5 linked regions of the Canis lupus familiaris genome follow. The main gene of each other region encodes a partner of the protein of the gene in region 2 in a complex. Links are inferred from orthologs where the notes say so. Each region holds a gene or a part of one and is shown on either strand. Other genes may lie near its edges. The genes, in order: POLR1F, POLR1B, POLR2H, POLR1E and UBTF.

Region 1 (4,062 bases), on a different chromosome or scaffold from region 2:
AAAGGTAAAGTGGGGATTGTGATAAATGGGACTCCGGGGCTGGCAGCAGATCCCTATATGGTCTTGTAAGTACCTTAGCCATATTAAGGAGTCTGTGTTACCCTGAGAAACCTGGGGCGCCCATGGGAACAAGTCATGGTTCTATTTGTGTTTGGGAGAAGGGGCTCCCGGGGGTCCTCTTGACCATCAGGACTAAGCTTCCACAGGCACTTCTGCGGTTTGGGAAGTGAGGACAGACAGAAGTATCCCCAATAGGCCGATGTTTCCGCCGTGGACCCCACAAGCCGTGGGGCCGACTCGATATTTGAGGGTACAAGAGAGGCTCCTAGGGGACCAGCTGAGCTGAGCCCTTTGGAAAGTGGTAAGATCTCTTGAGTTAGTTGTTACAGGCTGAGCAGAGAGTCCAGACGGGAGAGAGAGATGATGGGTTGATTTTCAGATGTCTCGCAGTTGAGGCATCTGGGCTGCATTTTAGGACTGGATTCCCTGCAGAAAATACATGCCCTAAAATTTTAAAGTTTATTATTTGTATTGTCCACGCTGGCAAAATTTACCAGACCACGTTATTACTGGAAACTATCAAAGTGCGAACCCCTATTAAGTCTACATATTAAATCCAAAAAAGAGGGGATCCCTGGGTGGTGCAGCGGTTTAGTGCCTGCCTTTGGCCCAGGGCACGATCCTGGAGACCCGGGATCGAATCCCACATCAGGCTCCTGGTGCATGGAGCCTGCTTCTCCCTCTGCCTGTGTCTCTGCCTCTCTCTCTCTCTCTCTCTCTCTCTCTCTCTCTCTCTCTCTGTAACTATCATAAATAAAAAAATTAAAAAAAAAAAAACAAAAAAAAAAAAAACAAAAAAGACGTTACGGGGAATCCCCTGGGTGGCTCAGCGGTTTGGCGCCGCCTTCAGCCCAGGGCGTGACCCTGGAGACCTGGGATCGAGACCCGCGTCGGGCTCCCTGCGAGGAGCCTGCTTCTCCCTCTGCCTGTGTCTCTCATGAATAAATAAATAAATAAAATATTAAAAAAAAAAAAAAGGACGTTAGCGGACGGTTTGGCTGCCCCGAGGAGAGGAGGTGGTGGCCGGGCCTGCAGCACGCTCCGGACTTGAGCCGCGGCTCTCCGCTCCCGCCGCCGTCCCGCAGGCGGAAAAGCGGCTGCCCTCTGCTGGTCACAAGCGCGTAACGCGACTCAAGGAGAGCAATTTCCTAGGGGCGGGCCGGCGGGTGGATGACGTGGAACCCGGGCGCCCGCAGGAGGCGGCGGCGCGTGCGTCAGCCGTGGGCGCCGCGGGAAAGCTGGCCGAAGCGCATGGCTGCGGGTTGCTGCGAGTCTCCGCCGCCTAAGGCGGCCTCTGAGGGGCCGGCCGGCGTGTTGCCTTGCCTAGAGCTTCCGACCTACGCGGCGGCTTGTGCGCTGGTGAGTAGCCGTTACTCCTGCCTGGTGGCGGGGCCGCACCGAAGACACATCGCGCTTTCGCCGCGCTACCTTCACCGGAAACGCACGGGTATCCGGGAACAGCTGGACGCGGAGCTGCTGCGCTATTCCGAAAGGTACCGGCCCCTCGGGCCCTTCCTGCGTGCGCCGGCGCACGGGCGGGGGTAGCGACGAGGTAGCAGAAGAGGCGTGAGGGGGCAGGAACGCCCTGGCCACCTGGACGCCCTCGGGACTCTTCTTCGGGCCCGGAAGGCCGGTACCTGCCTAGTCGGTCCATGTAACAGGCAGGAAGGGGGACGGGCTAGAGGAGCTTGCTCTATGGCGTTCAGGGGGAAGAATAGAGCAGGGGCCTAGAAACCCCGTCGGCCCGGGTGCCCCCGCCCCTCCCCCCGCAGAGGGAGAAGCAGGCTCCACGCGGGGAGCGCGACGTGGGGCTCGATCCCGGGACTCCAGGGTCACGCCCCGGGCTGCGGGCGGCGCTAGACCGCTGGGCCACACGGGCTGCCCGAGAGATACTTCTGCTGGGTTCTCTTGCTTGGGACCTGATCAGGGACGAGAAAAGTACTGTGTTTTTATTTATTTATTTATTCATTCATTCATTCATTCATTCATTCATGATAGAGAGGCAGAGGGAGAAGCAGGCTCCATGCAGGGAGCCCGACACGGGACTCGATCCGGGGACCCCAGGATCACGCTCTGGGCTGAAGGCAGGCGCTAAACCGCTGAACCACCCAGGGATGCCCCCTTTGTTTTGTTTTTAAGAGCAGTTTAATTAATCTAACTGGCCATTCTGTTGGGCTTGGGGGTGAAAAACCTTTGTGGTTCGTTTAATGTGTTCAGAAGAAACGGAGTTACAAGAACGGAGGGTCAAAGGAAGGGGGCATGTGTACTTTAATATTGCAATAGGGCTGCTTTGCCTCAAAAGCAAAGGTTCCGGAGCTGGGACAAGTGGAATTCCTGGGGATTCCTTACTGCACTTCAGAAATTTCATGACATCCTCCCCCCACCCCCACCCCCCTCCTCGGGAAATTTGCTGTCCGTGTTCTAGGTCAAAGTATCCAAAGTGTTCCCTTTCTCCAGGGATCCTGAACAGGTTAAGAAGCAAGCAAGTCTAGGATGTACGGCTCATTCCAAGCACCAGCACCCTTGTGTGGTGGCTGTTTTATGTACTAGGGACTTAGGATTTAAAAACAAAGAAAAAACAAGATCCCTGTTTCAAGAAACTGTAAGCTCTAGTAAAGATATAAATGTCAGATAAATCGAATGAAATGTTAAAATTTGACAGAGGTCTAAAGTTATATTAAGAGAAAGAGTAGTGAATTTGATATTAGGACCTCTGAGATGGTAGTATTCAAGGCATAAAAAGTGTAACGTAAACGGATAGTAGATAAAAATAGACTGCTTTGGTCAGAGAATTGTAAGTACTATATAATTGGAGTAAGATTTATGTTAAGAGGAAAGAAAGTGTGTGCAGTTGAAGAGAGCAGAGGCAGCGTGGGGGATCACTCAGGATGTACATTTTGCTCTTTCCTTCTTATCTACTAGGTTTTTTTTTCCTCTTTGCTTAAGCAGGCTTGGCGCTTGGTCCTCCTAGTGCCCTCCAGTTCTGAAATTTGGTGCACTCTGGAGAGAGTAGTGCATATCCGATCTCTGGGACATGATCAGATACACAGTTGAAGAAGAAACCACGCTTGATAGCATTAGCTGATGGCTTGAGTGAGGCTGTAGACATGGAGACCAATTAAGAGATTGTTACAACTGTCCAAGAGAAAATGACTAGAGAGTATGGAATTGAGAGTTATTAAGGATATAAAAGTGGTCATAAAATCTGGAAAGAGGCATTGTTTGATATACTTACTACTTTCTGGAACCAATCAGTGCTTCCACTTGACAGGCTAGGAGGAAGCCACCTGAAGTGTCCCAAGTCCGAGCCATTACCCCAGAGATATAAGGAACCCATGGACAGTGTGGCCTTATGGAGCAGGTTGCGCTCTGAACAAATGAGGACTGCCCACCACACCCTCCCCTCCCCCACCCCCCAGTACCACTCTGGGTAGTGGGCTACCCCAGTGTGATAAAGACTCGGACTTAGGGCAAATAAAGCAGCACACATTGAACTATACATTTCTAATTAGGGACGAAACCTTGAACTGTAATGTCAATCATTTATCGTGTATAGGTAGATTTACAGACTTTGGCGCCATCAGGAGGAATCAGGAAGACTTGTTTCACTTTGTTTGAGAAATGAGGAAAACCAGAGTGTTGGGAAGTGGAGGAGGGACAATAAAGTATCCCCCAAACTGAGAAGGCACTTTGAGATTTGAAAATGAAGTAGGTGACTCCATACATTTTACACACCCTTCGATTCTGGGTAATTTACTGACATAGGGGACTGGACATGTGATTATCCTGCAGCTGCACAGCTATTCTCCACAAAGTTTGGGCCTTAGTTCACATTTACAGAGTACAAAGGGGTGTGCAGAAGGCATTTTGGTTAGGTCAGAGGTCTAACACTTAACAGACTTTCTGGTGCCACGTGTGCTCCAGAAGAGGGGGAGGAAAGTGTGTTACCTATAGTAGTTATCTAAACAACTTTAGGGAAAATCAGAACAACTTGTATTCTGG
Region 2 (3,512 bases):
CCGGGACTCCAGGATTGCGCCCTGGGCCAAAGGCAGGCGCCAAACCGCTGAGCCACCCAGGGATCCCCTCTTAGTCTTTTAAATTAGATCCTTAGCCTTTGTCATTTTTGATTTTAACATTGTTTAACAAAAATATAGTTTATTTTGTAGAATGTTTATTGATTTGGTTTGTCTGAGATCTTGTAATTTGATTTTGAAGAACACAAGCCCTTGTAGTCACCCACATCTTATCACTTCTGGTGCTCTGCCTACCTAATGATTCAGGTTTCCGTTGAGTGTTGCATCCCTTGAGCCTAAAAAACCTTCCTATAACATTTTTTATAGTAGGTGGCTGGCTACAAATCCTCTTAGGTTTTATTTCTCCAAAAATGTCTCTATTTCATCTTTACTTGGAACTGGATGTATGATTCTGATTTGACAGTTACTTTTTTTTTTTTTTTTTTTTAGCACTTAAGAGATGTTACACGGTCTCTTCTTGGTGTCTAGAAGTCAGTGATTGATTGTATATAATGTGTTATTTTCCCATCCTTAAGATTTTCTCTTTATATCTGGTTTGTAGCTGATTAAGTATGATATGTCTAGATATGATCTTTGTGCTTGCAGTTTACTGATATTCTAAAATCTGTTCTTGTTTTTTTTTTTAATCTGTTTTAAAAGATATCATCAGGGGCACGTGGGTGGCTCAGTTGGTTAAGCATCTGTCTTTGGCTTGGGTCATATCTCAGGGTCCTGGAATGGAACCTCACATTGGGCTCCCTGCTTAGAGGGGAATCTGCTTCTCCCTCTCCCCCTACCCCTCTGCCCTGCTCGTGTTCTGTCTCTGTTGTGTGCATGCTCTCTTTCAAATAAATAAAATCCTTAGGGGAAAAGGAAAAAAAGACTATGGGTTCTATTATGTTCCTCTGAAGAGGATTGGTCTTATCTTTAACTGTTAGGTAGTGGAACAGAGCAGTTGAAGTATGTTCTTCTGGCCTGAGGTGGGCTGCTCAGATCTGTCCCATGCATGCATAGTTCAGTCCACCGAAGATTTGACTCGGTTTATATGCAGAATTTCAGGCTCTTTACTGTTCCTTCCTTTCTAAAATATCCCCTCTTACATTTGAGTTGCTCTTGTGTTCTGAACTCTACTCCTTGGTTCTTCAAGCCAGCAAGACTGTAGGTCTCTAAGTTGTAGCCACTATACTGACTGGACCATCAGGCAAAACATTAAAAACTAAAAAAGCTAGTATTTTCACTCTGTTCCATTTCTTTTGTTCAAGTGTAAATTCGTCTCTAGTACCTGTTAGCTCTTGGTTATTTTCCAGTGGGTTCAGATTTTGTGTGTGTGTGTCTGTGTGTGCATAAGTGGTGATTTTCTGTTTTATATTGTTCTGGATTTTATGTGCTGAGAGTGGTCTTGTAGGAGCAGCATTTTATTACTGGAAACTGGAAGTCTCCTTTTCTGTCTTTTAAAATTCCGCTATGTATGTATGCATATATATATTTAGTCTTAACATTGTTTCAAATCGATACTCTATAATGTAGTACAAAGAAGTCTTACTTCCCTACCCTCTGTACCCCACACCCAGAATTAACAAACACTGGCATTTTGCTGTGTAAGAAAATAATCTAATTCGATAATAGTTACTGTCCCCTTTTCACCCCTTCTCTTCCACTAGTAATACCCTGTAGTTTGTTTATATATATAGATATAGATATCCTTTATAATCTCCTTTTTTATGCTTTTTTTACATAATATACATGTCCCCATAAACTAGGTATAGAATTGTCTGGGATGTGTTACAAATGTACATAAATCATACATTAAATGACATTCTGTGCTTTTTTTTTCCCCACTCAGCATTGTTTTCATGGTCTGATTACATAGATACATGTGATTCTGCTTCATTTTCATGCTGTGTATTGATTTATTCATTGCTCTGTGATGTATATTTTATTGTTTCCAATTTTATATATGACCTTTATAATCAAGGGGAAAAAAAGAAGATGCTACAGGCTTGGTTTTTTTTTTTTTTTTTTCCCTTTGTAGGGAAGCAAACTATGGGCTTTCCACTTCTCACCTACCAAGCCCGATCAGATAATAAACTGTATCGTCTTCAGACCCCACAAAGCCCTTTAGTGAGACCATACATGTATGATTATTATGACATGGATAACTATCCAATTGGGACAAATGCCATCGTTGCTGTTATTTCTTACACTGGGTATGATATGGAAGATGCCATGGTAAGTTCTACTAAGAGATGTAGTTCCATTCCTTTTAATTTTTAACTTTTTCATTTACTGTTTTTCTGTATCCCTGCACATGAGTATTCTGTTAAATGATTAGTTCCTAGTCTCCATTGAAAGTGGTAAGCCCTGAGGAATATTCACTAAATATTCAGATATGCATATATTGTGCATATTTGAGTGCATAGTATGAGTAGATGTTGAATGAATGTAGTTTTGGATATATCTACCTTTTATATTCATTATGCATGATTAGGCTTTAAGCCCTTTATAAGTGGGTTTTGTTTTTTATTTTTAAAAAAAGATTTATTTATGAATTTATTCATGAGAAACACACAGAGAGAGGCAGAGACATGGGCAGAGGGAGAAGCAGGCTCCCCGCAGGGAGCCTGATGAAAGGAATCGATCCTAGGACCCTGGGACCATGACCTGAGCCAACGGCTCAACCACTCAACCACTGAGCCACCCAGGCGCCCCTATCAGTGGGTTTTAATAGTATAGAAAGCTTGGAAAATTTGGAGGTTTTTTTTTTTTTTTTTTTTTTAAGATTTTATTTATTTATGGTGAAGACGCTTGACCACTGTCCCAGGATGGTGACACCTGTGGCCATCACTCTTTCTGTAACCCTGAAGTGAATTGAGGCTGGCAACCCCACATCATGTCGATGCTGAACCGAGCGACTCAGGCCCTCAGGAAGCCCGAGGCCAGAGGCATGATCCGGACCATCATGCGGGCAGGCCAGGCCACATCTGGGCCTCCATTAGGTCCCATCCTGGGTCAGAGAGGTGTTTCCATCAACCAGTTCTGTGCAAGGAGTTCAACAAGAAGACAAAAGACATCAAAGAAGGCATTCCTTTGCCCACAAGATTTTTGTGAAGCCTAATAGGACATTTGAAATCAAATTGGACAGCCCACTGTTTCCTACTTCCTGAAAGCAGCTGCTGGGATTGAGAAGGGGGCCTGGCAGACAGGGAAGGAGGTGGCCAGCCTGGTGACCTTGAAGCATGTGTATGAAATCGCCCAAATTAAAGCTCAGGATGAGGCCTTCGCCCTGCAGGATGTGGTTCACTCTGTCCTCTGTGGTTCACTCCATCATTGGCTCTGCCCATTCCCTGGGCATTCGTGTGGTGAAGGACCTCCATTCAGAAGAGCTGGCAGCTTACCACAAGGAGCAAGCCACATTCTTGGCTGCCCACAAAGAGGCAGATTTGGCAGCCCAGGCAAAAGCTACCAAGAAGTGACCCTGTCCTCCACATGCCAGGATTTTGAAGGGAATGGCTGAA
Region 3 (4,094 bases), on a different chromosome or scaffold from region 2:
CATTCTAACAGACGTTTTCCAAACACAATGCCATTTAGTCCTCCCAGCAACCATATGAGCAAGGTGTGATCATCTGCACTTTACTGATGGGGAAACTGAGGCTGCAAGAGGTTAAAGCCATTCAACAAAGAACTGATAGGGCTGAGATTTGAACTCAGTAGAGCTCCAAAGCCCTTCCATCACACCAAACTCTCTCCCAAGACGCAAGGCTCACATAGCCTGGGTCACTTGATGGTCATCTCCTTAGCCATCGATAAGGTACAACCCACAAGCATGTAATTGCTGCCCTGGAAAAACACCTGGTTGTTAGAATTTTTTTTTTTTAAGATTTTATTTATTTATTCATGAGAGAGAGAGGCAGAGACACAGGCAGAGGGAGAAGCAGGCCCCATGCAGGGAGCCCAACCCAGGACTCGATCCCAGGTCCCCAGGACCAAGCCCTGGGCTGAAGGCAGCGCTAAACCACTGAGCCATGAGTCATCCAGGCTACCTGGTTGTTTGAATTCTTTTTTTTTTTTTTTAAGATTTTATTTATTTATTTATTTATTTATTTATTTATTTATTTATTTATGAGAGACACAGAGAGAGAGAGAAAGAGAGAGAGAAAAAGAGGCAGAGACACAGGCAGAGGGAGAAGCGGAGGGAGAAGCAGGCTCCATGCAGGGAGCCCGACACGGGACTCAATCCCGGGACTCCAGGATCATGCCCTGGGCCGAAGGGACTCCAGGATCATGCCCTGGGCCGAAGGCAGGCGCTTAAACCGCTGAGCCACCTGGGGATCCCCATTGAATTCTTAAGTGCAGCAATTTCCTTAAGGTTGCTCAGATACTACTGATAATCATTTATTCCACAAATTAAATAAGGGTTTTTTCCTATACCACTTATCTACTTAGTCCTCAAGCGTATTTCAAGTACTCCTTTCCTGAGAGGGAAGTACTTCACTTCCTCACCTGGAAGGCCTATCATCTGTGGGGTTGTATTCACCGTCATCCAGGGTACCATCTTCATATAATGTACTGGCTATGACCAACCGGAACTTGTCACCTGAAAATCATGGCAATACCAGAGGCTAAAGAACAGCTGAAATGTCAAAAAGCCTTCTGCTATTGTCTGTGTTCAATACTTACCCAAGTCTACAGGGTAAATCTGAATGTTTACATCTAAGATCAGGTCCATTTTGAAAGATTCACTCTCACAATGTAGCCGAGACACTGGAGGGAGGTAGAGAAAGAGTGGCATAGGTAATTGCCAGGCTCTGCAGACCCTGCAGACCCCACTTTGGGGGATTACATGCAATTGAGCACTCATTCGAACCCCATCTGCATCCACTAGCCTCACGTCTGCTCTCAAAGAAGTGCAGACTCAATGAGAACCAGATATGCCAGAAGGAAAGGAGTGAAAACTATGGCAAGTGGACAGAATCCCAGAAAACAACCAAAGGTCCCTCTGGCAATAAATAATATCCAGGTTCTAGGCCTGCCTAGGTGATTAACAAACAACCTGACTTTAGACAAGTTATTCATTCATCCAAAGGTTTTGTCTTTTTTTTTTTTTTATAAAGATTTTATTTATTTATTCATGAGAGACACAGAGAGAGAGACAGAGACAAAGGCAGAGGGAGAAGCAGGCTCCCTGCAGGGAGCCCGACTCGGGACTCCAGGATCACGCCCTGGGCCAAAGGCAGGTGCTCAACCGCTGAGCCACCCAGGGATCCCCCCAAAGGTTTTGTCTCAGGGCGCCTGGGTGGCCCAGTTGTTTATCTGCCTTCAGTCCAGGTCGTGATCCGGGGTCCTGGGATGGAGCCCCGCATCCGGCTCCTTGTTCAAGCAGGGAGTCTGCTTGTCTCTCTTTCTCTCCCTGCCCCTCCTCCTCACTCATACGCTCTCACTCTGCTTTCTCTATCAAATAAATAAATCTTAAAAAAAAAAAAAAAAAAGTTTTGTCTTTCTGTGCCAGCTGCTGTGCTGAGTGGACTATCAGGACTGTTAAGACCTGGTGTTTGTCTTGAAGAACATCTCAGTCTCTGGACAAAAGAAGAGACCCCCAAGGAGGCCCAGTCTGATCAACGGCAGAATAAAGAGCTGTATGGCAAGCAGCAATCCTAATTCAGAGCGGATGTCACAAAGGGCTAGAGATTCTCAGGACAATACAAGAATACAGGCTCTGAAGTCGGACTAGTCACTGTGCAGCCTTGGGTAGCTTACTTAACTTCTCGGGGCAAAATGGGTAAGACACCAACTACTTCATGGAGGCTCCTGAGAGAACTGGGCAGGACGAAGTGTGTGTAAGGTGCACGCTACAGCGCCCAGCAGAGTGGGGAGCGACTGGAAGATGCACGGGGGTGCACCAGCACCATGAGAACGGGCCACCCAGGCACCGGGCCAGCCTGTGTGGAGCCAGGCGGAGTTCGGGAGACGCCGAGTTCCCATCGATCCAAGGTCTCCTGATGGGGATTCCTGAGTCAGGAACTGCCGGCAGGGGCGGGCCACGCGGCGTGGGTGGACCAGGGGCCCACAGGCGTGTCCCCGAGGAGGTTACCCCCTGACTCGGCCGCCCCTACGTCTACCTCCACCTTACCTCGGTCAAACTTCTTGCCCTCCGGGTCAATGTCTTTCACATCGAAAATATCCTCAAACAGGATGCCCGCCATGGTGAGGTGGCCACGAGAGTACGAGAGGGGCCGGGAGCGCGACCACGCCTAGGGGTACGCGCTCCCCCTCGCGTGGAGTAAAGGAGAGAAGGAGAGCGCGCGCCCAGAGAGCGGCCGCAGAGCCCTAGAAACACGCATGCGCGCGGGCAGGCAGCGCCGCCGCCACTTCCGCCGCCTGGGCCTCGGGGCTCGCGGACTTCCGCCCCGAACGACGCCTTCCGAGAGGCCTCGGGAGTGGGGGGCGGGACTCGGGGCCGGGTGGCTCCGCCCCGGGGCGGGGACCCGGTTAGTTCCACCTCCAGCCGAGGCGGCGCGGCGTCTCGCTGTACGCGGAGGCTCGGCTGCGCCCTCTTGAGAGGCCGGGTCGGGACGCCTGGAATGCGGGCGGGCCTACCCCAGCCCGGGACCTTGATCCTTGGCCCGGAGAAGCCCGGCGCAAACCTTCCCCTGCTGGTCTGCGTGCCCGCCGAGGGCACAGTCCACGCGGAGGGCGGACGGGGCGGAACTCCGCCCCCAGCGCGCTGACCCTGCGGGGCGCAGAGCCCAGTCCCCACAGCTGGCACCGAGGCTTCCTAGCCGGGCCCGGGCTGGACCGGGCTGGACCGGGCTGGACCGGCTTGGCCCTGCTGGATGTCACCCGAGCCGGCTCCGTCCCGTTTGGGAATTTGCCATGATGTCACTATGGGGAAGAGGAAAGCCTGCGCTCGTCCCTTCCCCTGGTACAGCACCCCCCTACCACTGCCCTCTTCCCCGGGGCCCCACTCTCTTCCACTCCGCCTCTTCAGCCCGGCTGACGGCTGGCGTTTAACCCCATCACACAGCGCTGCCCCTGCAGCTTGGTACTACCTGCCCCCCCCCCCCCGCCTTCTCCCTTGGACGCTGATCTACGTGCCCCTTCAGGCTGGCACCGTCCGCTCCCACGGATACGAGCCCCCCCTCCTCTTGGGTGCCGCTCCTCTCACACTGCCCCTTCCTGGGCACCGCCTCTGCCTCCCGCGGGCCCCTCCATCCTGGTACTGCGTCCTCCCGCACACTGCCCGTGTCCTGGGCACCCGCCTCTCCCCTAACACGCTCTCTCCTACATTGTCCATCCACCCTGTGCTCACCCCACCCTCTGCTCCATCCTTCTCCAGACCCTGAGAGAGAACACAGATCCCCAGGTGGCGGCGAGACGTCAGCAGCTACTCGAGTTTCTCCTTGGGCCCCGCCAGGGAAAAACGACCTCTGTACCCCCACGCCCGCCTTCCAGGAGCCTCCTCGCCAGCACCTAGACATCTCTCCCCTCGGGCCTCACCCCTTCACCTTTCCTCCCTGTCTCCACCCCGTACACCCCGCAGGCCAGGTTGCTCCAGGTGTGACTTCCTAGAAGAGGAACCCTGGAGAAGAGGAGGAGGGAAGAGGATGAGAGACACGGGAGGGTCTCAGTTCCGAGCATCACGTCCTC
Region 4 (4,075 bases), on a different chromosome or scaffold from region 2:
AAAAAGTTGCTGAGAGCAAATCTTAAAAGTTCTAATTACAAGAAAAAAATTGTAATATGTGTGGCAGTGGATGACTTTTTTTTTTTTTTTTTTTTTTAAGATTTTATTTGAGAGGGAGAGAAAGAGTGAGAGCAGGAGGAGGGAGAAGCAGACTCCTTGCTGAGCAGGGAGCCCAACATGGGGCTTGATCCCAGGAAGCAGGGATCATGACCTGAGCCAAAAGCAGAGGCTTAATCAACTGAGCCACCCAGGCACCCCTGGATGACTGCTTATTGTGGTGACCATTTTGCAACATATACAAATATCTAATCATTATATTATATACCTAAAACTAGTGTAAAGTTATATCGCAGTTAAAAAATTATTATTTAAGACTTTTTAAAGTAATCTTTACTCCCAAAGTGGGGCTCAAACTCACAGCCTCAAGACTAAGAGTCCCAAGCTCCAATGACTGAGCCAGCCAAGCACCCCTAAAAATTATCTTAAAGAAAATTACAAATGAATGAGATTTTAGGAAATCCAACAAATGTTAACTTATTTTTTCTTTTTAGGCATGTTGGTTGTGAAGGCCCCTGGATCTGGGAACCCAAGGACATGGTAAACCTCTCCAGATTTGCCCCCGACTCCTAAAATAAAGACCGAAAACAACAGTGCCAGGCTCACCACCACTATCCTCCCCTTGTTGTCCCTTCCCCAACCCCTACCTGCACAAAGTGTTGCATTTGAGGGCTCCAGTCCCGAAATTGTTTCCCACGTAGGAAAGTCTGTCTGTTTCAGCTGCCTAAAATGTAAAGTGAAAAAGCACCACCACAACCAATGTTGAGAGGTATCAAGCATATTGTCTCCCTTTCCCACATTTGCAAAAGCTTTAGAATCCAAACCACAGTGGATCAGAACTAGAGAGCCTCTGGGAGGTGATCCAGCCCCACTCTCCAAGTGAATCTGGGTGTCTCTGGGAGAAAGGCAAGAGGACTTTTGAAAGGGAAGCCCCATATAGTGCTGGCTTCTAGCTGGTCTGAAAAGTGCTCAGGGGAGCTATACCACAGGACTTGGGAGAGAGCTCCTGGGCTAGCACTTAGAGGCATGCAACAAAATGGTTCTGCCAGCAACCTCCTGGGCCCAAAGTCCAAGCCTTCCTGAACTTCTTTGTCCATCTCTCCCATGGCTGCTGCTTATATGCTGGCAGGACTATGGAGACAGCTAATTCACTCCTCAATCACAGCCAAGCTTTCCTGCTTCCCTATGTTTGTCCCTGCTCTCCTTTTCACTTGGAATAGGGAACCTCAGCTGTCAAACCGTCCTCCAGTCTTCAGAGCTTAGCTGCTATGTGTCCTCCCCCAGGAAGGCCTTCTGACAAGCAGAGACTTCCTGAGCTCAAATGAACTCGTTCCAGGCTCAGAGCTTGCAGGCTTGTGTGAGTTACTGAACTCAAAACCAGTTCTCACCTTTCGAAAGCAGTTGTTCTCACCCAGCAAATCACCCTTGGTTGGGGGGGGGTGAGGGGGCGTGAGGGACACCTCTGGGAATTCTGGGTGTCACAAAGAGGAGGTGCTACTGGTATCTAGTGGTTAGAGACCAGGGAAGCTGAACATCCCGCAATGCACAGGTCTGGCCCACAACACAGAATTATCTGGATCAAAATGTCAATAGTGCCAAGACTGAGCAACCCTGCTCTAGAGTAGGAGCTCCCCCAGGGTGGAGCCAAGTCCCATTTCGCTATTTCCCGTGCAGCTTACAGCACAGCCACGGTGGGTGCTCAATAAAAGCTTGCTGAATGAATAGATCAATGAAAGGTCATCACTTCACCAAAAGTACATAACTGAATGAATGGAGCCTGTCCCCACACCCCAACCTGCTGGGACTCACGGTTCTCCCAAGGCTCATTTGCTATCTCTTTTCTCCTCTCCCTCCCTCCCACATCCACCCACACCCAAGCGCCTCCAAGACCTTCAGAAATCTGCAGAGTGGAGGCAGCTGGCCCCCGCAGCACTTACCAGAATCCGCTGACTCCTCTTCCTGGGGTTTGTGGAGTCATTGCTCTTGTACAAAGTAAAACGCACGTTGCCTGGATTCTGCAGCTTCCCGTTGGAGAACTGCACTGTAAGATTGCAGCGCAAAAATGAGATGAGTAGAAGGACCCACAGTGTGTATGGTGGGGAGGAACCGGACTGTTCGTTGGGAGAGAGCGTCTGAAGGCATGGGAGTGGTAAGGAAGCCCAGGCCTGAAGGGGGGCCTGAAGGAGGTCCCTGCCGGTCGGGAAGAGGAGACCGGGAGGTGAGGGCAGTGCTGGCGAAGGGCCGCGACGGAAGGAGATGACCAGGGTTAAACAGCTGAAGCCTAGCCCAGACCGTGGAGAAAAGGATACGGGGCAGGTGTGAGTGCGTGACGGGGTGACTGGGAGAGCCCTGAGGAGGAGGCTGCCTGGGATGTCCCCATCCAGGTGGTGACAGAGAGATGGGGGGTGACCAAGTCCCAAGCAGTGCCGGAGGCTAGAGGGCGTCTTGGCCCAGCCGGGAAAGGGGTCCGGCAGGGGCAGGAGGGCTGCAGAAGCACCCAGACGGGAGCGGAGGGAGCTGTGCGGGACTCGGCTCCGGCTCCGCGGTCTTTACCCAGTACGGCTCTCTGGCTCTCGTCGGGCTGCCCACAGTATAGCCACCGCGCACTCGGCAACACCTCCGCCGCCATCTCCCGGTCCGGCCGCCAAGGCTAAGGACCCGGATAGACTCGGCCCGGAGCGCCTTAGCGGTCCACACGCGGCGGCAGAACCGCGGGGCGGAAGAGGCGTGGCCTCCTCGGCCCCGCCCCGCCCCGCGCGTGCGCACACGGCGCGGCCCCGCCCCCGCCGCGCTCCCCCGCCCACTCTTCGCCCCGCCCCGCCGCATGGAGAGGCGGGGACTCTCTCTGCCAACCCTGGGGGCCCCAGGCCTCTGCCCCGCTGGCCTCCCGGGGGCGCCGCGCTCGCCTACGCGTTGAGGGTTGTGGGGGATCAGGCGACTTAGCAGAGCGGAAGGGCCAAAGCCGGACCCTTTGAGCGTGGATTCAAAGGCAGGTATCTTTGAGGGCAAGAACTCAGGTGGCCTCATCTGTTACCCAGGTCGCCTTCGAGTCTCAACAAAGTACGTCACCAATTGTCCCAGTAAAGTGTTTACAGCAGAAAGAACCTGTCCGAAAACACAGGTTGCATTTACTCAACGGTCTTTAGTTTCCTTCAACCCAGAACAGTTCCTCATTTGCAGTTCCTGCAAATTTTAAAGATTACAGGCCAGTTGTTCTGTAGAATGTCCCTCAATCTGGATTTGTCTAATGTTTCCAAATGACTAGTTTCAGGTTATGCGTGCGCCTTTGGCAGGGCTATCACGGATACGATGCTCACTGTATCCTATTAGGTGGCCCACAATTTCTCTTTGTCCGATTACTGATAACTTTGACCACTTCAACCAGTTAGAGGTTTCCCTGCTGTAAAATTACTCTCTTTGCTTTGTAATTTCCCTTTGTACCTGACTCTTATTTTGTGAGTGGGTATTGAGAAACTAATTTCCTGTTCATCGCACTACCAATTTATTCATTTATTTATATCAGTCTGGACTTGTAGATTCCTATTTTATTCAATAGATTAGAATCTACTATCACCTATTTTCAAGTTCTAGTTTTATCAGATCGGGCCAGTGGAAACCCCGTTAAGTTGGTTTCTGGGTTCTTTTTACATGTCCACATCATTTTTTTGAACGTGTCCTTACTTTCTGGCACAAGATATTTCAATTTGTCATGTAGTTTCCCTGCCCCAGCCCTGGAATCACCCATTTCTCCAAGGAGTTCTGGTTTCTTTTGGTAGGAAACAGTATTCAGAAACTAAGATCTCTGTAGTAGGTATGGACTGCTTGGGGGATGTCACAGCTCCCAGGCCTGAATGAACTGACTTAGGGATTATATGTAAGTAAACACACTTTCACAACTAACAGTAAGTTTCTAAAACTTAGAATTTCTAGATCCATATATATTGAAAACCATGAGATCATAGTGACTTCTAATTCCAATTCAGCACCACAGAGTTTATTCTGATTTTCCTTCCTCCCA
Region 5 (3,512 bases), on a different chromosome or scaffold from region 2:
TTAATATGTGTGGACATGGCGGTGAGAAGAGCACCCAAGTGCTGTTCTGCTGTTGCTAGTTGTGTGACCCAGGACGCGAGTCCCTCCTGGGCCCCAGTTCCTTGCCCACACAACCGGAATAACCCCTTCTCTGGGGGTTCCCTTTATGAGGATACTGCACGCACCAAGTGAGACCACAGTGAAAACTGTCCAAGGATGAGCTGCTGTGCCAGCCTAACAGTGAGAATGCGACCATAGAGGTAAAGCTGGATGAGGCAACACTTGGACTGTCTGTGGGGGGAAAGGGCTGGTCCGAGCATCTGCTTCAGTCCGGGTCACACCTTCGACCATGCCTGCACTTGATAGTGTATGGGAGTGGGAGGAGGGGACCGAGTGTGGCTGCCCAGGACCCTGCACTCTGCTCTGCTTACCCAACCCCATCCCTGATGTCCCTCTATGCCTGAGCTGACCTACACTGCACCAGCTGCTCCCTGCCCTTCCCGTCCTCCCTACTTTGCCCCCCTCCCCCCACCTTCTTCTTCTCCGGCAGCTCCTTGTATTTCTTGGACAGAATCTTGGTCAGGTCCAGGTTGCTCATCTCAGGGTGGAGTTTCGCATACTTGGCTCGCTTCTCCATGAAGAAGCGGAAATAAGGGGTCAGGGGCTTCTTTGGGAAGTCCGGGTGTTTCTGGAAGGAGGGTCAAGGACACGGTGAAGGTCAGACAGTATCTGTTCTTTGGACCATTCCTCTCTTACACATCATACTCCTCCTCCTGGAAACTCACCTTGAGTTTTTTGCCTTTGTAAGGATTTTTAACATGTTCCTGAGCATCAAGGATCAATTCTGTCAATGTTCGGAACTTCCTCACCTGGAGAAGAAAGGAGGTGAGTGCAAGAGGAAGTTCAGGAGAGGAAAACACCACCCTAGAGCCTACCCCCTTTCCCAACAGGTCTCCTCTACTTTCCACTACACTGAATTTATCAGACGAGGAGGGGCAGGAGCCAACAGCCACAACTCAGCCCCTGACACCCAGACAACACCTGGGCACTGGCCCACTCCTATGGCACAGGACCAGACAGTCCGTACACACCAAAGGACGACAACAAGGTGACCACCTGACCTCGATGTGTTGTCCATGCCAGCACCTCATTCAATCCCCAGAACAGCTCAGGCGAGAGAAGATCCCAGATGTAAGTATTCAAGGCCACACAGCTAGGAAGCGGCAGAACTGAGAGCTCTAGGCCAGTGCTATCAACCGTGCCACCTCCCCAATGCACAAGGGCGACCACATAAGCACCTCGCCTGGTCTCTTTCCTTCCTGTTTATTGACTTCTGTTTCCTCTCCCCCACCAGGAAGGTTGAGGCAGGGGTTCACGTAGACGCGTCAGGAAGGGGGCAGCAGAAGGGGGAGGGGATCAGTTACCTCATTAGAAATCTCCACCCATTTGAGCTTGCACATGTCTCCAGAAAAGTCTTTAAATGCTACTTTTTCCCAATCCATATGTGACTCGGTTGTTTTGAACTTGGAGCTGTCATTGGATGGAAGGTTGTTCTTCATGCATTCCAGCAAAGTCAGCATGTCTTCCTGGGACCAGCGGTCTGGGGAGGGGCAAGAAAGGCACATCATGCCCAGCTCATGCTTCCCCCCCATCTGTTCCCCAGTCCTTAAGTGCTCAATCCTTCTTTCCCTGGGCATCCCAAATCCCTGGGGATCTCTGATGTGAAGGCAAAGACAAGACATGACCTAGTCACAAGAGAAAACTGTGACCATGTGGATTGGAGCGGGTATTCCAGACCAGAGAGCATCATACCTAGAAAGCCAGACTTGAAATCAAGTCTGGTTTACTTCAAAACTATGGTCATTTCTAACATGCCAGGTTGCCACAGACTACTATTTATTGCAGGGAAGAGAAAGAAATGAAGCTACAGTGATTTGGGACCTGGTGGGAAAACAGCTAACTTACTAGGAGAGGGGAGGGAAGCAGGGAGGCAGACCAAGTTGAAATGTGTTGCCAAGTTTAAGTTCTAGGTGGATACCATGGATGTGCAAGGGCTGAGGATGGAGTGTGGGCAGTAAGGAGAACCCATGCAGACATTTCTCTCTGGCACAGCTGGAAACTAACACTGGAGACATGGGCAATTTTGGGCAAGTAAGAAAAATGGAATGGAAATGGAAGAACCATACAGGGCAGCTGAGAGGCAAGACAAGCAGACGAGCAAAGGTTCTCAGGGCCCTGGCTCCAGGGAGAACCCCCAGAATTCTGAGTTGTCTTCTGGGTCCAACTCCCCATGGAGGCAAAAAAAAGGGGGAGGGGGGGTCTGAACCAGCTATTTCCAGCCACTGAACTAGCCTCAGCAGGCCTCTCTGGAGGGTGGCTACCCTGGAAGGTAAGTTAGGAGAACAACCAGGACTAGGAGTCAAAAGGGCTCTTCATTTGCATTTGCATCTGGTAACCAGGGTCAAGGTTGCCACAGGGTGGGTCACATGGACCAATAATCCTCAGTCCTCTCAGCGTCCCAGTCAGGGCCAGATGCTCAGCTTCATCCAACCCCCTGCCCCCATCGGCACAGGATCTCTCCTGGATGGGGTAGGATCTAGTTATGGACCTCCTATGGCTTGGAGCCTCAAACCACCAAAATATCCTGTCTCCACCTGCCTCACCCAAAACCTTGTCCTCTGAATAACAATAAAACACCTGAAAAGCCTTGCCAATCCCTCCCTTCTCCCCCTCCCCCCCATTGCTCATCCTTCCTCCCATTCCAGGACTCTGGGTGAGGAAAGGACAAACTCTGGCCAGATGGGAATCCCAGAATGAAGGCTCCCATAAGACTCTCTCTCTAAGTGGGAGAATGAAGTGTGGAAAATATAGTTTATAGCCTCAAGGCCAAATAACTTGGGTTTAGCCAAACTTGACTCATAAAACTGAAGATACCCCCCTCACCTCGATTCAGAGAACAGGGACTGTCTAACCCCTTTCGAAGGAGAGGGGGTCCCGCAAACAACCATGTGGGAAAAGAGGACGTAAGTTAAAGTGCTCCTACCTTGGCCTTTGGGGGCGGCCATTTCCAGGTCTGTGGGGCAGTCAGCTTCTCCGTTCATTCTTTAGCCGTCCAGCCTCCTCCTTGGGTCGTGCTGGCCGGGCAACCCGCGGTCAAAACCACCTCACCCTTTAGAAGAGACACCAGTCCCCACTCAGGCGGGATGCGAGGTGAGGGACTTTCTATTCCTCCCTCCCCCAAGGGGGAGGGGGGCACAAGTCCGCACTTTAACGGAGACCCTGCCAAGACCCTAGTAGACCTAAAGGGTCTGTGGGTGTGGGAGTGCGCCCCCCCGCGCCCCTGCAGCCCGGCTCCACCGCGTGCGCCCTCCCCTGCCCACGCGAGAGACTGCTCCCAGCTCCCGCGTGCAGCGAGCGCCCGCCCTCCGCCCTCCTTCCCCCACCCGGGCCAAAAAAAAAAAAAAAAAAAAAAAAAAATCTCCTCCTCCTCTGTGCGCCCGCCCCGGGGAGGCCCCAGGCTGGAGGGCGGGGGA

What was found.
Region 1: POLR1B (region 2) and POLR1F share a complex: the UniProt entries of both Homo sapiens proteins name them as parts of the RNA polymerase I (Pol I) complex. The link is inferred for Canis lupus familiaris from reciprocal best matches to the Homo sapiens genes POLR1B and POLR1F.
Region 3: POLR1B (region 2) and POLR2H share a complex: the UniProt entries of both Homo sapiens proteins name them as parts of the pol I pre-initiation complex. The link is inferred for Canis lupus familiaris from reciprocal best matches to the Homo sapiens genes POLR1B and POLR2H.
Region 4: the proteins of POLR1B (region 2) and POLR1E are in contact, whole or in part, in a cryo-EM structure (PDB 8A43), measured with the Homo sapiens proteins. The link is inferred for Canis lupus familiaris from reciprocal best matches to the Homo sapiens genes POLR1B and POLR1E. Residues at the interface, in NP_061887.2 of Homo sapiens: Lys254, Ser258, Phe259, Ser260, Tyr262, Gln263, Gln266, Ser295, Thr296, Gln297, Ser338, Thr340, Glu341, Ala532, Cys535, Pro541, Ile542, Asp543, Gly544; in NP_071935.1 of Homo sapiens: Gln27, Ser29, Asn30, Gly31, Tyr69, Thr76, Leu79, Lys80, Cys81, Leu84, Cys85, Met109, Gln110, Pro111, Leu112, Phe113.
Region 5: POLR1B (region 2) and UBTF share a complex: the UniProt entries of both Homo sapiens proteins name them as parts of the pol I pre-initiation complex. The link is inferred for Canis lupus familiaris from reciprocal best matches to the Homo sapiens genes POLR1B and UBTF.

Annotation. Positions count from the first base shown.
Region 1 is NC_049235.1:33,912,378-33,916,439, reverse strand, and holds the start of POLR1F (DNA-directed RNA polymerase I subunit RPA43), read left to right. Parts: upstream 1-1,261; 5' UTR 1,262-1,311; coding exon 1,312-1,553; intron 1,554-4,062. UniProt on the Homo sapiens protein: Component of RNA polymerase I (Pol I), a DNA-dependent RNA polymerase which synthesizes ribosomal RNA precursors using the four ribonucleoside triphosphates as substrates.
Region 2 is NC_049238.1:36,973,093-36,976,604, forward strand, and holds part of POLR1B (DNA-directed RNA polymerase I subunit RPA2), read left to right. Parts: intron 1-2,029; coding exon 2,030-2,226; intron 2,227-2,597; exon of another isoform or gene 2,598-3,512. UniProt on the Homo sapiens protein: Catalytic core component of RNA polymerase I (Pol I), a DNA-dependent RNA polymerase which synthesizes ribosomal RNA precursors using the four ribonucleoside triphosphates as substrates.
Region 3 is NC_049255.1:17,408,728-17,412,821, reverse strand, and holds the start of POLR2H (DNA-directed RNA polymerases I, II, and III subunit RPABC3), read right to left. Parts: upstream 2,813-4,094; 5' UTR 2,651-2,812; coding exon 2,578-2,650; intron 1,212-2,577; coding exon 1,128-1,211; intron 1,045-1,127; coding exon 951-1,044; intron 1-950. UniProt on the Homo sapiens protein: DNA-dependent RNA polymerase catalyzes the transcription of DNA into RNA using the four ribonucleoside triphosphates as substrates.
Region 4 is NC_049232.1:54,125,680-54,129,754, reverse strand, and holds the start of POLR1E (DNA-directed RNA polymerase I subunit RPA49), read right to left. Parts: upstream 2,806-4,075; 5' UTR 2,687-2,805; coding exon 2,611-2,686; intron 2,099-2,610; coding exon 1,995-2,098; intron 782-1,994; coding exon 705-781; intron 1-704. UniProt on the Homo sapiens protein: Component of RNA polymerase I (Pol I), a DNA-dependent RNA polymerase which synthesizes ribosomal RNA precursors using the four ribonucleoside triphosphates as substrates.
Region 5 is NC_049230.1:19,054,984-19,058,495, reverse strand, and holds part of UBTF (nucleolar transcription factor 1), read right to left. Parts: intron 3,149-3,512; 5' UTR 3,081-3,148; coding exon 3,023-3,080; intron 1,580-3,022; coding exon 1,404-1,579; intron 849-1,403; coding exon 765-848; intron 668-764; coding exon 512-667; intron 1-511. UniProt on the Homo sapiens protein: Recognizes the ribosomal RNA gene promoter and activates transcription mediated by RNA polymerase I (Pol I) through cooperative interactions with the transcription factor SL1/TIF-IB complex.